2 linked regions of the Mytilus edulis genome follow. The protein of the gene in region 2 binds, or shares a complex with, the protein of the main gene of each other region. Links are inferred from orthologs where the notes say so. Each region holds a gene or a part of one and is shown on either strand. Other genes may lie near its edges.

Region 1 (7,658 bases), on a different chromosome or scaffold from region 2:
TAGTTGTCTGTACTACCAAACCCTTACCTATATGCTCAATGTTAATTTCATCGTGTTATCGAATATCTGATAAGAATATTCAGGTAGATTTGTTCAAAACCATGTGCAATCGAATATTTTCAATGTTATTCTGACAGGAAATGGATCCGGAAAAGTTGCGAATTTACAATCTTGCAAGAAGATTTTGTTTTTACTGAATAAAAAAGAATTATTTCTTGATAAATTGTTGTCTTTAATTATAATCTTTCTTTATCATGTAAATTAGATGCCCTTTTATTCAAATAGTTCAAATTTACAAGTCTCATTAGACAAGATCAGTACGTTGCTGTTTGGGAGAATTTGATAAAACTATAATTGTTCACAGAATCAGAAATATAATCTTAACTGAATGTAACTCCCTCTGAATAATTTATTGCAATATAAATCCCTTTTGACAAGAGAAATCTGACTTTTGACAGAAATATTTTTTTCACATGTGCAAAAGTAAAAACATGTTATGGACGCCATATTGGATTTTTCTACAAATTTGTGAGGAAGCCTCTAGAACCATGACCTAAAAATAAATAGTCTTCAGAAAACGTTAACTTTATGCAATTATATTTTATCAATAATGATTATTTTCAAAAATTTAAACTTGATTATTTAAAGAAATAAAATTATAACAAATACGTTTTTAGTTTGGAGATTCTACAGAACATGCTTTGATCTATTTACCGGTATAGCCAAATTAGTTTACCTGTGTGATAATGTAAATACAAATTTGTTTTCAAAACATAAACAAGACACAAACTAAGGATGGTAGATAATAATTCATATAAATATTTTAATAGAAATAGGATTTAAAAACTGCAAACAAATTTAATCATTACATAATCAGCTGATATTTTTTTTACAAAAACATCGTGTTGATGGAACTGTTGAAAATCACTTCATAAATCCACCAGCCCTTTCACACAGCTAGCAATTGTCAGTGTTATAAACATCTCAGGATACAAATCATATAGTAGACTAATTTATTTATAGAGGTTTTAAATTCATGGCTTTTGGTTTTCTCTACAAAGGTTTGACGAAAAAAAAAAGATATACTGTTTTAAGATCTTTTAATATTTTCATGCAAATTCTGATAAAAAAAAAAAAAAAAAAAGAATTTGCCTACCTACCTACCCACACCCAGTCATCATGGGTCGGGTTTGGGCAAACTGAAATATTTTTAATTGTGGCCTTATGTAAAGCCATTATTATAGCATTTTTTTCAACTGAAATAGAATTGCAGCTAAATGATAGCATCAAAGGCATAAACCTTGATACTTAAAACAAGCAAAAAATTCATTTTTTTCAATTTTACTAATAAAAAGATATTATTTAAACCTATGTGTTTAAAATTTTGGTAAAACTACAAAATCACAATTTGTGACAAAACTTCGAATTTGCTACACAAAGTGATTTAAAAATCACCAAAGTGATTTAAAAATCACTTATTTCAGTTAGTCCCCTGACTGATTAACATGACCATGATGACATGTCTCTCTTGTACTGAATATTCCTCATATGGTGCACTATTTCTCATAAGTACGATGTTGATGTCCCACCATATTTCAGTGTGTTCATGGTGTTTGTCAGTCTTTAAGATTTTTTTTAGCAACAAATGTATTTTGACCTTTTGAGTGTGAAATAAGTCAAGATTATATTATGTTATAATTTGTTTTTGAATCTTTGATATTAACCATTTGTTAACCATGCTGTAAACTGAAGGTATACATGGTACCCATCAAAACAACATTTGATAGAAAAATTTAACAATACTTTTAGATATTTGGATGATATATTGGCTCTAAATAATGACGACTTCAGTATGTATACTAAAGAAATTTATCCTGTAGAACTTACTTTAAACAAAGCTAATGCTAACAATGACCACTGCCCTTTCCTCGATCTTGATATCTATATCATAAACGGGAAGCTTAATACAAAAGTTTATGATAAAAGAGATGATTTTTCATTTCCTATTGTTAATTATCCATTTTTAGATGGTGACGTTCCCTTGTCACCATCTTATGGTGTTTATATATCTCAACTTGTACGATTCGCTCGTGTATGTAACAATGTATTAGATTTTAGCGAGAGAAATTTATGTATTACTGAAAAATTATTACACCAGGGTTTTCGATATCACAAACTGGTCAAAACATTTACTAAATTTTATCACCGGTATAAGGAAATAATTCGTAAATATAACTCAACATGCAGACATCTTATACGTTCAGGTATTTCACATCCAAAATTTTATGGAAATATTCTTTATAAAGCACAAAAATGTCAGTATTCTCCTCAGAAACTAACAAAACCTTTAAATAGACTTATTAAAAGGGGATATAGTTACGATACTGTTGTCAGGTCATTAAAGATTGCATATTTTGGCTTTAACATTGATTCACTGATAGGGTCTTTGCATCGGAACTAAACACATTTATTTCTAAAAAAACAGTTGTTGGCATGACACGGGTTATGTTCTTCTCATATATTTTATGATAGTATGATACTAAACCCCTAACGGGAGGGATTGTACCTGATATTCATATGATGAAGACATAATCTTTCAATCAGTTTAATTGAGGTCTGGAGCTGGCATGTCAGTTAACTGCTAGTAGTCTGTTGTTATTTATGTATTATTGTCATTTTATTTATTTTCTTTTGTTACATCTTTTGACATCAGACTCGGACTTCTCTTGAACTGAATTTTAATGTGCGTATTGTTATTCTTTTACTTTTCTACATTGGCTAGAGGTATAGGGGGAGGGTTGAGATCTCATAAACATGTTTAACCCCGCCGCAATTTTGCGCCTGTCCCAAGTCAGGAGCCTCTGGCCTTTGTTAGTCTTGTATGATTTTAATTTTTAGTTTCTTGTGTATAATTCGGAGTTTAGTATGACGTCCATTATCACTGTACTATTATGCATATTTTAGGGGCCAGCTGAAGGACACCTACGGGTGCGGGAATTCTCGCTACATTGAAGACCCATTGGTTGCCTTCGGCTGTTGTTTGCTCTATGGTCGGGTGGTTGTCGCTTTGACATATTCACCATTTCCTTTCTCAATTTTATTATGGTACATGTATATTATCTTAAATTATATATCCTTGATAATATAAAAAAAAATGTTTTTTTCACTTGTTTCTGGTATATAACTATATTTAAAAAGACAATTTAATGTATGTTTCAATATTTATTAACCATGTTGATTTAAACAGGCGTTTAGTTAAGAAAGACAACTCTACCTTCCAATCTTTTTGGACATAATGCAGTGTTCTCCCCAGAAATTTTGGATAGCATCACATTTGGCGTAAAAAAAAATGTATTTTTTTCAATGTAATTTGTCGCATCGTGGCAATGCTCTATTTCCATTATGATATATATGCTTTATTGTTTATTACAAAATGTATTATATTGTTTGTATGCTATAGGTCCTTATTTGGTGAATAAAATATTCTATTCAACCCTATTCTTTGTGTCAATATTGTTGAATTCATGACTGAGAATACAATTAAAGTATAACCATGATAACAGTATTTTCAGTTTATGTTTTCTATATATTCATTTATAGTTCCAGAATTATTTTTCCTCTTGGGCCAAATGAAAAAAATATGTGTGGTTCTAGTTACCCTACCTACATGAACTACCCAGTTAAAAAAAAATCTTTATCATGTCTATGAAATATATTGGCTCATGGTATTCAATGAATCAGTCCCAGTTGTTTCTTTTTATCAAAATGATATATATTCTTAACAAAGTTATCTGACAAATAGTCTGTTTGTGCTTAGTTTTCTCTTTAGGTATCATTGTTTTCTGTTTACCATGTTTACTGTGCCATTTGTGCAAATGTAGTTATTATTGTAAAATACGGATTTTTGTCATATCTGGTCTGGTTCACATCATTAGTTTACACTAAAATATTAAATGGCCGTTGAAAGCAATGAAAAATACAAAAATAAACAATGTTTGACAAGAGATTTGGAATGAATATGGCGTTTTTAATGCATTAAATGGATGAAGCATAAACTAAAGCCAATATTGATCACTTTCTAAAGAAAGACCAAAACTTATTTAGCTCATAATCAAAATTTTCACTCTCGATTTACAAAAAGTGATAGGAAGAGGAAGAAAGTATATACTACTGTAATATTTTGCAGACCACGTGGTATTAATCATGTCACAAGTGACAGCTTAGGGTATTCCAATCCAAACAGTTATCCCCCAAAGGCAATTAACTCCTATTTATTCACTCTTATTTGTCTATTGTCCGACATGAAGGGATTAAAGGTGATATATTTTTTATGATCATAAGCGGTAATTAGATGAAAGTTCAAAATTTAGGACATGGCTTTGCCATATAGAAACGAGAAAAATAACATCCTAAAAATAATTATAGCGTCACGGAAATTATTATAGCGTCACGGGAAGAAAATATAGCGTCACGGTACCGCGATGCTAAAACGTCCTGGGGAGAACACTGAAATGTTTTTTGAATCGGTGATTTAGAAAATCATTCATTTAAGTATAAAGTCCCCTGACTGTTGATTATTATACTACTTAGAAAACAAACTGAATAAACAACCTCATGGAACATTGGTGATAATTTTTATATATTTGCTGTTTCAAGGTTTTAGCATTATGGGATTTGAAAGAGGTGGTGGTAGGGGTGGAGGCCGAGGAGGAGGAAGAGGATTTGGCGGTGGTCGTGGAGGTGGATTTAGAGGAGGTGAGTTTGATGGGGCTGATCACAAGATCTTGACTTATTTGGATATAATTTGTTCAAGATGATCCATATATAAGTTTTATACCATGAAAATTATACATGTACATGTACATGATGTAGCAGTCAACCCTCATTCTTCATCAAGCTAAAGATAACCATCCAATACTTTTTTCTTCATTGTTCTTCAGAATTTGGAAATTTTCTGATAGTTCCTTATTATTGGTAGCAGAAGAGTTCAAATCTCCCACTTCAAAGAAATGTCATGTTTTCTCCTTCTTCACAATTATTAGCCAATAAATACTTTAAGTCATGTCAAATTGTTTAAACATTTATCATAACATTATAAGCTTGCAAAGTACAACGTTACAAAGTATTCCTTATATGATGTTACAATGTAGCACAGTTATATCAATGTGTACATACATATTTAGCTACATATACCTGCAATTGTCAGAATGATTAAATGCTGTTAAATCTTGGTTGGTATATGGGCAGGAATTTGCTAGTGAAATTTTAGGGTCAATAGTGTTTATCCAATTAAAAAATAAAGAAATCATGCAAATATGGAGAATAAACATTGTTTAAATATCAAAGTGGGTTAGTCTTTATTGCCACATGCAAAAAAAATGGTTCCAATTAAAAAAATCAACAAAAAATCAGCACTTGTTATGTGCTGGCAGTTGAAAACTGTAGACAAAAAGTGTGACATTTCTGCAGTGGCAAAACCCCTAGTCATATTTAGAATATGCCTGAAGAATTGTTCTACTATAATAGTTGAAAATCAACTGCAAAATGATCGGTCTATCATTTAGAAACCCCATTTTGTACAGAATCCGATTATTGCTGCAAATAAAATACGTTTGAAAATGGACAAGTGCATGTAACTTTTCCCGTCAACAAATGTTACATGCACCTTTTCATTAGCTGATTAGCTTTGGAAACAAGTTATTGGTCCAGCATGGCAAATTTTGAAAGGTGTCAACAATGGTTACAATTTGGATTTCATGATTTTTATCAATCAACTGAAGTTTGAAAAATATAGAAGGTACGAAAATTTATTTCATTTTCGTGTCAATACTGCCCAATAATACTTATCTTTTTATAACAGTTGTATACTTTTTATAGTAAGCATTAACATAATTATTTTTTTCACATTTCAACCCACTGACAATTACATTAAAATGTGGCTTTGTCATCTTTCACACTTGGCATCTACCAGTGATCAAGCAGATGATAAGAGAGTGGGACCAGGTTAATTTGACCTCACAATGAAGTGTTACATGCACTTTTTGTGTAAATTAGGTTCTTTGATAATAATGTGTGACTTGCTTTGCAATTTTGTCAAAAAATATAAGTTTATCTTGTATTTTAACAGGTTTGACCCTTACGATATTCATTTTATTGCTGGAGAGATTTCTGTACATAACATTGACACGAAAATATTTACCAAGGAAAGGTGTCTATGATACATGCAAAAGCTTTTTTTTGTACGGTTTGCCTTATCAATCTAATTTTTTACATGTAATACCACAGATTAATTGCCAATTTGATTAACTAGTACTTGTATTCATTCTCAGCATTATAAAGATAACTGGCCACTTAATTTGAAAACATAAAATGTAACATTGACACCAGAATAAAAACAATATTACTTTATTACACTTAAAGCATAATTGGCCAGTGCATAATATTAAATCAAATGTAAATTTAAGCTGAATTCTTAACAGAGAAGTTGTTGATCTTTCTTGATTTCTAGACTTTACAATATTTACTTGTAATTCTTATCGTTTAAAGGCATGTAACATTGACACATCTTCTGTGTCCAGGTTACATGCTACAACCTAATAAATGTGCATACAATTATTCAATCAATAAAATCTTGTTGAAATTTAAATTTGCTTCATTAAAATGATATTAAAGAAATAAATGAGTTTCAATTATTTGTGTTTATTTTTTTCCTGATTGACTAGCATTTTTTCCTCATCATTTGTTGGTGTTCCTGTCAATGTTACATACATAACCCAGAATTATAATGTTTTAAACGCATTGATTTCCAAACCTCTGTTATGAGCTTTAAAATGAGTTTATCTGAGTTTATAAATGACTAACATCTGAAATATTGTCATCACACAATTTCTTTGATGCTCCTATGATAACTTTATGAGTAACATGGACTACGATTTTTGTATCAGGTCTTTTTTGTGTTACATGAGAAGATTTTACTGTGTTGAAATCAACAGTTAATCTAATTTTTTATATTCAAAGTTATTATTATGATACTTATTTTAAAAAATAATGTATAAAGTAAACCCAAATTAAACTTTTTTTTCATTAAGAAATTGCATGTGTATGTAACATTGACAGAGTCTATTATTTAGACTTTTACATGTTCAGGCCATTGTTACATGCGTACACACAACTTACTGCCATATGGAGCTATTATCTTATTTTTATTTTACAAAATTAAAGCGTTTTCATGTTTTCCTGTTTAATTTGTCTTTTAACACTAGCTAGTAACATTGACAACAATATTTTGTGTCAAGATTTTTTTATGTTACATGCAAAGGTATTACTTCCTTAAAGTCAGAAATTTATATAACATTTTATAACCTAAATGATTAATTAGATATTACTGGGCAGCAATTATATTATTTTTCCAAAGTTGACTATTAAGCACACCACTTTCATCTTCTGGTCTTCATGTATGTAACATTGACATACAACCTTTTACTTTCTGTCAATGTTACACGCATGAACAGAACTGATAACATTTACTAACTCCTTTGCTCTATAAAGAGATTATTGATAATTTAACTTGTTTTACCACCATCAAACTTCATCTTTATTTCTAAATATAGATATTCTTTTTAGAAGTGTATTTTCTTCATTGACAACAAAATTGGTGT
Region 2 (7,470 bases):
TCATAATTACTCCTGTCAAATAGAGCATTGTGCATAAGCCACCTTGGAATTGTGTTACTCTAAATTGTTTTATGAAATCAGAAAAGCAAAATAATTTTTGTATTTGTTATTCATAAAAATTTGATAACAAAGTTAATCCTTTTCGGAAATAAATGAATGGATAAGAAGATTACAGGTACAAGCAAAATTCTTAACAGCCATTGGCTCTTTGGTTGAGTTGTTTTTCGACACTTTCACTATTTCTACTCTCAATTTTATTATCATACAAAGGATATCTTAAATAGAGTAGATTCAAACTGAATCTTTCACTATGACTCTCAAGTTATACACAGGTAACAGTTTTAAACTGCAGTCTACTATATTTTATTGTTAAATGTTTTTCTTCAAGCAATATTTTCAGTTTTTTAGTTGACATATTTTAGAAAATCAAGGAATCATTAAAATAATCTTCTCTCGTGCAAACATTTACTCAAAGAACGAGAATCATTAAGAATACCTCATTAATAGCCTAATGATAGGTAATGCATGCATGTTTTCTTTAAAACGTACAAGTTAAAAGTCCAAAATTAAACTGTTTACAGTGGGCATATTGGGTACTAGCATCTTCAACTCACCCTTCAAGGTACCAGTATAAAAGTTTCCAGTGTCAATATCAAGTGGTCTCTCCACTCCATTACTGCTTACCACAGCTTTGAAATCATCAGACACAACTTTAGTTTGCTTCACATACAAATGAAAATTTCTGAAGCAAAAAAAAAATTTTTGTTCACCATTTGTACACACGAGTCACAAAAATCAAATGTTCTAAATAATTATTTTGATATATTTCCTTGTTATGATTTTTTTTAAGTTGCAGAGTGATTAGGTATTACGTTATCAGTTTATAGTGATATATATGATTTAAAAATTTAAAACTTCTGAATAATGTATGAAGCCTATCATGAAGAACCTCACTGTAACTCTAAAATACATTGTTTCTAATTTTGTCATGGCAGGGCTTTTATTGGTGACCATACAGTATGGGTCTATGTTGAAGGTTATAAGGTGACCTTAAGTTGTTCACATCAATGTCATTTGGAATTTATTAAATAATTGTCTCATTGGCAATCATAGTCATGATAGTAATAGCATATCACCTTATTCCTTTTTATAAGTGGTACATGTAAGTGTACCAAACTTGAATTTTTCACCTAATGTTTGCGTTATATATTACCATGATTACAGATAGGATATATTATTTCTTTTTACTGCTCACTGAAATTCAATATTTTTTATCTTATTTGTCAGATACCACTTTTGTCTGTATAATTTCTAACATTATTACAAATATTTTTTTTGAGTGTTGTTGTTTTTATTGTCGACATAAATATTTGTTTAGTAAATGAGAAATAAATTGCCATACATTTTATATCAATATAAATGGACAACAGTTCTTGTGGATTGAGTGGGGAAAATGTACTTTTATAGATACTTAATTCAAAGGCTTTGATGAATCTAAAAAATAGTATATTGTAAATTTCAACTCATAAATTTGTGGTTCAGGTTAATCATACACTAAAAAATTAATGACAAATCCACAGACTTTACAACATATGTACAAAACAAAACCATACCTCCCTAAAGATGAGAACCAAATTTCATGCAGGTGAGAACTTGGGTGTGGATCCACACTTCGTCTTACACGCTTATTTATATCAACTGTCTTCAGGGTCTCAAAATAGTCCAAATTACTTGATATATCAGCTGAAAAAGAAGATATAAAGTCCATTCCCAATGTGAGTTTGATTTGAAAAAATTAGGAAAAAAAATCCGAAATTTTAATGTACAAAAATCAAATTTTAACACCTAAAAGAAAATAAAAAGAGGGTGCAATGCCTCAACAATACTCAAGGGCCTGTGAATGGGTGACCAGTTGACTTTTTGTTAAACAGATCATTTAGATATTTCTATATTTTATTTTAAAGTCTAAGTTGACATAAAAGTCAATAATGACACAAGGTAAAATGCTTTTTCTATAATTTCAACTTGTGACTAAAATTGATTTTATCTTATCAAATTATTAAACCCCTTTTTGGTTTTATAAAACGAAGAATAATTGACCAGGGTTTTCAAGAACATGCAGAGCAAATATTTCAGCATCTCCAAAATTAGTTTTTCCAGAGTGTTTACATCATACCTGTCAACTGACCCGGATTCTGCGGGTGTGACCCGAGATTTTCACAATTCTGAGGGATCACCCGGATCACCCGCCGGTAAACTTTACATTAGAATGAACTTGCAGATTGTGTTGATGCTTTAAGAAATAGATCAGATGTAATAAGCATTGGGTATAAGTTTCATAACATTTGGTTGAGGCAACTAAAGTTTAAGAACAGAAACTAAACATTTTGCATTTTTTCCCATTTATAAAGGTGCATAACTCGAGAATGGTTAAAGTGACCCCACCATAATTCAAACTTGATCTGTATTTTGTGGTAATAAGCATTGTGTATAAGTTTAATAATATTTGGTTGAGCGAACTTAAGTTAAAGAACGAAAACTAAAATTTTTGTAATTTTTCCATTTAAAACAGGGTATAACTTCAGAACCATACACCTCATCGTTATTTCTGGCTGAATGGAGAATCTGTCCCATTTGAACTATTGACGTCAAACAACAATTACTTTTCCATTTGCATGTACATGATAGCGCCATAGTACCGGGATATTCCACTCTGGCACCGAAGTCTTTCCCGTACCAGGAAGTATCAGGTTCGTTCACGCCCAATACACTTTCGCACCCTACACGTTATCACCTCGCACTTTCGCACCCAAGGTCCGTTCACACTCTACATGTTTGCGCCCGATTTTTATTCAAATTCCAGTTGAATAATTGGAAAATCATGATTGTTGTTATAAATTGCTTTGGTGTAAATAAAACATTCAAGATTTTAAATGAAAACACAAAAGATAATTGTTTTTAACAGCTTGGTCCCTTTAATCTGAAACAATAAAATAAAGCGATACACTATTATAACCAAAACATGATAAAATTTATTCAACACACACAAAAAAACGTAGTCAGAATCACACTTTATTTTGAAACAAGTCAATGAAACAAAGTTACATGTATAGCAATACACTAACCAAAACATGATTAAGAGTTATTCAACACAAAATAAAACGTTGACAGAATCCCACTTTATTTAGAAAGGATTATTTTTTTTTTTAACAATACACTATCCAAAACATGACTAAGATTTATTCAACACAAAAAAAAATGCTGTCTCACTTTATTTTGAATCAATGACAACAAATATAAGAACACACTTGCCAAAACTTGATTACAAAGATATAGTTATTAAACACAAAACCAATTAAAATTGGGCGCGAACATGTAGGGTGCGAAAGTGAAAGGGGGCGAACATGAGTGGGTGCGAATGTGAATCAGCGCGAAAGGACCTAGATTCGTACTACGATTGAAGAAGAAAAAGGGATATCCTTCCCATTGCATTTGGAGATTTTGAAAGTTGCTTTTTTTATACAGGTTGGGAACAAACCCCCTGTATGGTGATTATACCTCTATAGAGGGATAATCCTTCTATAGAGGGGTAAAATTATCCCTCTATAGAGGGGTATTTTTGTTTAGACTGAATTTAAATCAAAATAGGGCAGAATGGCATTCTCTACTTATTATGGCAGTAACCTGGAACAGTTGATGCACCAATTGATGTACTTAATTAAATATGCACATGCCCAGTTTGATGCTTATCTGACTAAATATAAAATCTATTGTTCACCATGATTGAAAGCTGTGATGATCAGGTAAATTCTACTCACTTATGCCTCACTGAACAGAATTTCTATTGTTAGATTTAAAATGAAATTTAAAGGTCAACTATTCCCTTTGTTGTTGATCAGGTGTTCAAATAGGTTTACAATAGATTGCATGTTTTGTCACTTTAGCAGAAAACTGGTTATCCCAATTTTTAGTAAAGTGCATATGTTGATGCATATAATGCTAGAGATTAGAGCCAATATAACTAGAAAATGCCATTCTGCCCTAATTTGCTTTAAATCCAGTGCAAACAAAAATAACCCTCTATAGAGGGATAATTTTACCCCTCTATAGAAGGATTATTCCTCTATAGAGGTATAATCCCCATACAGGGGGTTTGTTCCCAACCTGTTATAGTTCAATAGTTGGCACCTTTTATATGTGTTATGGAAATTACCAACATGGATAGTTGTTTTTCTGAAAAATCTTCCCTTCAAGATGGAAGAAATGTATTTTGTGTGTATATTCAATAATTACCTCTACTCGAAAATACACAAAAAGAAGAAATAATGATAACCGAAAGTAGTTTTTCCATCACAGCCTATATTATCTGGTACCTTGTATACAATTTTGTGTGGTGTAAAGAAACCAGTTCAAAGTCTGGATCGCCCGTGTGATTTTAGATTGCAGTATTTTCATCAATGTTAAAAGCTATTTTTATCACTTTAGCACGTGGAGGGACCAAAAATACAAAACAAACTCTAAAAAGCACGCTGTGAAATGGGAAAATCAAGCAAAGAAAAACGAAGATCTGAGGTAGAGGATGAAGCAGGGGACGGAGGTGACAGTAAAGAAATATGGCAAGAGAAAATCAAGTACCAGAGTTCTATTTCCCAGCCGTTAGCCCCAAGAAAATTGACAAAAAGAATTTACAAAGCTGTTAAGAAAGGTACATGTACATGTAGCTAAGAATGAGATTGTTTAAATGTTATTCTCTGTTGTTTCTGTGCTTAATGAATGACTTATGTTCATAATAGAGCTTTCTTTAATAAAATATTTTGTAATGCCGACTACTGGTTCATCATAAATTATAAATGGACAAAAGTGGCTGTGTTAGACCTCACAAATTGTCTACCCTTTGAGTACAGACTAAACTGTCCCGTTGGAAAAGACTATCAACTGGCAGTAGATCATACCCGTAGCCCGAAACCCCCCCCCCCCCCTTGAAATCAAATAAGCACTTTTAAAGCCAACGTTTTGTTCAAATTGTGACTTAAAGTCGAGTTCACAAGTCCAATGAACCCCCCCTTGGAAATTCCTGGCTACAGGCCTGTAGATGATAACAATGTTAATATGACCTCACACTCTATTATTATGCAGAAGTTATAAGAGGGGCGGAAAGGGACACAGGCACTTGTTTCTATCCATACGAAGGTCGACTATCCATATCTATTTATATGGATAGTCGACCTTCGTATGGATAGAAACAAGTGCCTGTGGAAAGGGAGGGTATCTGCACGGAAGAACGCAAAATAAAATTGCCATTTCATGACAAGCGAACAATTAAAAATTTCCTGCTCGTTGATCTTTTTAACAAATTTCACAAAACACAGTGAATAATGAACCTTTTTCATGGCTGCACGTGAAATAAAAATGGCAAAACACGTTGCACAAAAATAACCCTTTACCACCCTCTTATAATTGCCCTGTATTACATGGTGGGAAGTTTCCCATGCTGGAATAAAACTTCAACACATCAAAAAAATCTAAAATCACTGGGTTTTCTAAAACAAAATTTAAAAACAACATATCCACACATAAAATCCCAGGCATACCAAGCACTCGTCAGACTCAAACTTGAAAATTCCTGTTCTGTTTGGGACCCTCACACAACCAAGTCTGTATCCAAAATTGAGATGGTCCAACGACGAGCTGCACGGTATGACTGCAATAAATACCATAATACAAGTAGTGTTACAAACATGCTTACGACACTTAACTTACCATCATTAGCAGAACGCAGACCGCATAAGATTGGTAATGATGTACAAAATATAATATCATCTTGTTGCTATTCCATCAGTCATACTCATAAAAGCAGACTCAAGAACAAAAAAAAATGTACACTCTCATATAGGCATATTCTTACATCGAAAGACTCCTACAGACATTCATACTTTCCTTACACAATACCACAGTGGAACCAGCTCCTTGTGGTACTAGTTCAGGCACCATCCATTAATAGCTTCAAAGAACAGCTCACTTCAGCTGTTTTCTGTTCTATTAATTAAAAGTATCAATTTAAATTGTACATAGTTTTAATCACAAATTTAACATTTCATTGCACTTTAATTATATTTCGTTTAAATTAGGGTAAACATGTTGACCACATCTTCCTATATCTATGTAAATAGTCCACGTATGCGAACAGTATGTAATCATCGAAATCAATGAAATATTGTATACCTACAGAAGAAGAAGAAGAAAGTTTATGGAATTTGAAATAGTGAAAATTTTCAGTAAGTTACTAGCTTTAGTTATGTTGCTGTTACAAATCAGTTTGATATGACTATTTCTTTCATGTACTTTTATGTTTTCAGCTTCAAAACAGAAACAATTAAGAAAAGGTGTGAGAGAAGTGCAAAAATTTATTAGAAAAGGAGAAAAGGGGTGAGTACATTTTTGTACATCTGACTTCACAAAAAGTACATGTAGGAAGTTTTTGTTGGACTTGTCAACCAGGAAATGTTAAAATCACTCCTGTTTATCTGACATCACAAAAAGTACAAGTAGGAAATTTTAGGCCACTGCTTACAAAATCATGACTGAGAGCATCACTCATGCAAATACTTTATTATGAATTTTATACCATCTGCTCATCACTCATAGACCACTTATACTCATCATTCATTATATTTATGGCTGTTTACTTCATTGTTTTTATTGTAATAAACAATTTTATTCATATTTTTGTTAAAACAAGGCAATTGTGCCTAACATATATATTACTGAATTCAGGTTAATGTTGTAGAAATCTATTTGTAAGGATATTACCAGAACAAAGGTTATCTGTAAAAAGTAAAGAAACTTGAGAGTTAGCACTCAAATTTAGGCAGTGGGGCAACAGGACATTAATACTTTTAAAAAGTAGGCCTAAGAATGAAGACAAATACTTTTTAAATGACTAATAAGAATTTGTTATTAACTCATACATTCCCTTTAACACAATGGACAACACATATTAACATGACTAATGAGATTTTCTTTTTTACTAGGATTGTTATATTAGCTGGTGATGTAAGCCCAGTTGATGTTATTTGTCACATGCCTTTGGTTTGTGAAGAGGAGGGACTACCATACTGTTACACACCATCAAAAGAGGTATGACTACATTTATGTTGTTGTTTGAAATTTTTAATGCTACAGGTTATGCATCATACCATGATGTATTGGTACATGTCTCTCAAAAAAGAAATTTATCAGTACATGAAAATTCTCTACACTATCTAAAACATTTACCAAATGTAAGACTTGAAATGAAATATTAAAGTTTTTTCCTTTCAAGACGAAGGTTAGACAAAATGATGACAACCGAAACTAGTCAACCGTTGGAAATATAATAACACAGAAACTATGTCAAAAACACAAAACACAAAAAACTTTTTCCAGAAAACAACCACTATCTGACTTTTGGAAGGAATTTAGATTCTACTG

The links.
Region 1: H/ACA ribonucleoprotein complex subunit 2-like protein (region 2) and H/ACA ribonucleoprotein complex subunit 1-like share a complex: the UniProt entries of both Homo sapiens proteins name them as parts of the H/ACA small nucleolar ribonucleoprotein (H/ACA snoRNP) complex. The link is inferred for Mytilus edulis from reciprocal best matches to the Homo sapiens genes NHP2 and GAR1.

The regions. Positions count from the first base shown.
Region 1 is NC_092352.1:81,859,445-81,867,102, reverse strand, and holds the start of H/ACA ribonucleoprotein complex subunit 1-like, read left to right. Parts: upstream 1-4,657; 5' UTR 4,658-4,667; coding exon 4,668-4,755; intron 4,756-7,658. UniProt on the Homo sapiens protein: Required for ribosome biogenesis and telomere maintenance. Part of the H/ACA small nucleolar ribonucleoprotein (H/ACA snoRNP) complex, which catalyzes pseudouridylation of rRNA.
Region 2 is NC_092347.1:73,995,270-74,002,739, forward strand, and holds the start of H/ACA ribonucleoprotein complex subunit 2-like protein, read left to right. Parts: upstream 1-4,459; 5' UTR 4,460-4,536; coding exon 4,537-4,705; intron 4,706-6,356; coding exon 6,357-6,426; intron 6,427-7,031; coding exon 7,032-7,137; intron 7,138-7,470. Other genes in the region: ADAM 17-like protease, read right to left, coding at 615-742, 1,614-1,743, 4,294-4,351. UniProt on the Homo sapiens protein: Required for ribosome biogenesis and telomere maintenance. Part of the H/ACA small nucleolar ribonucleoprotein (H/ACA snoRNP) complex, which catalyzes pseudouridylation of rRNA.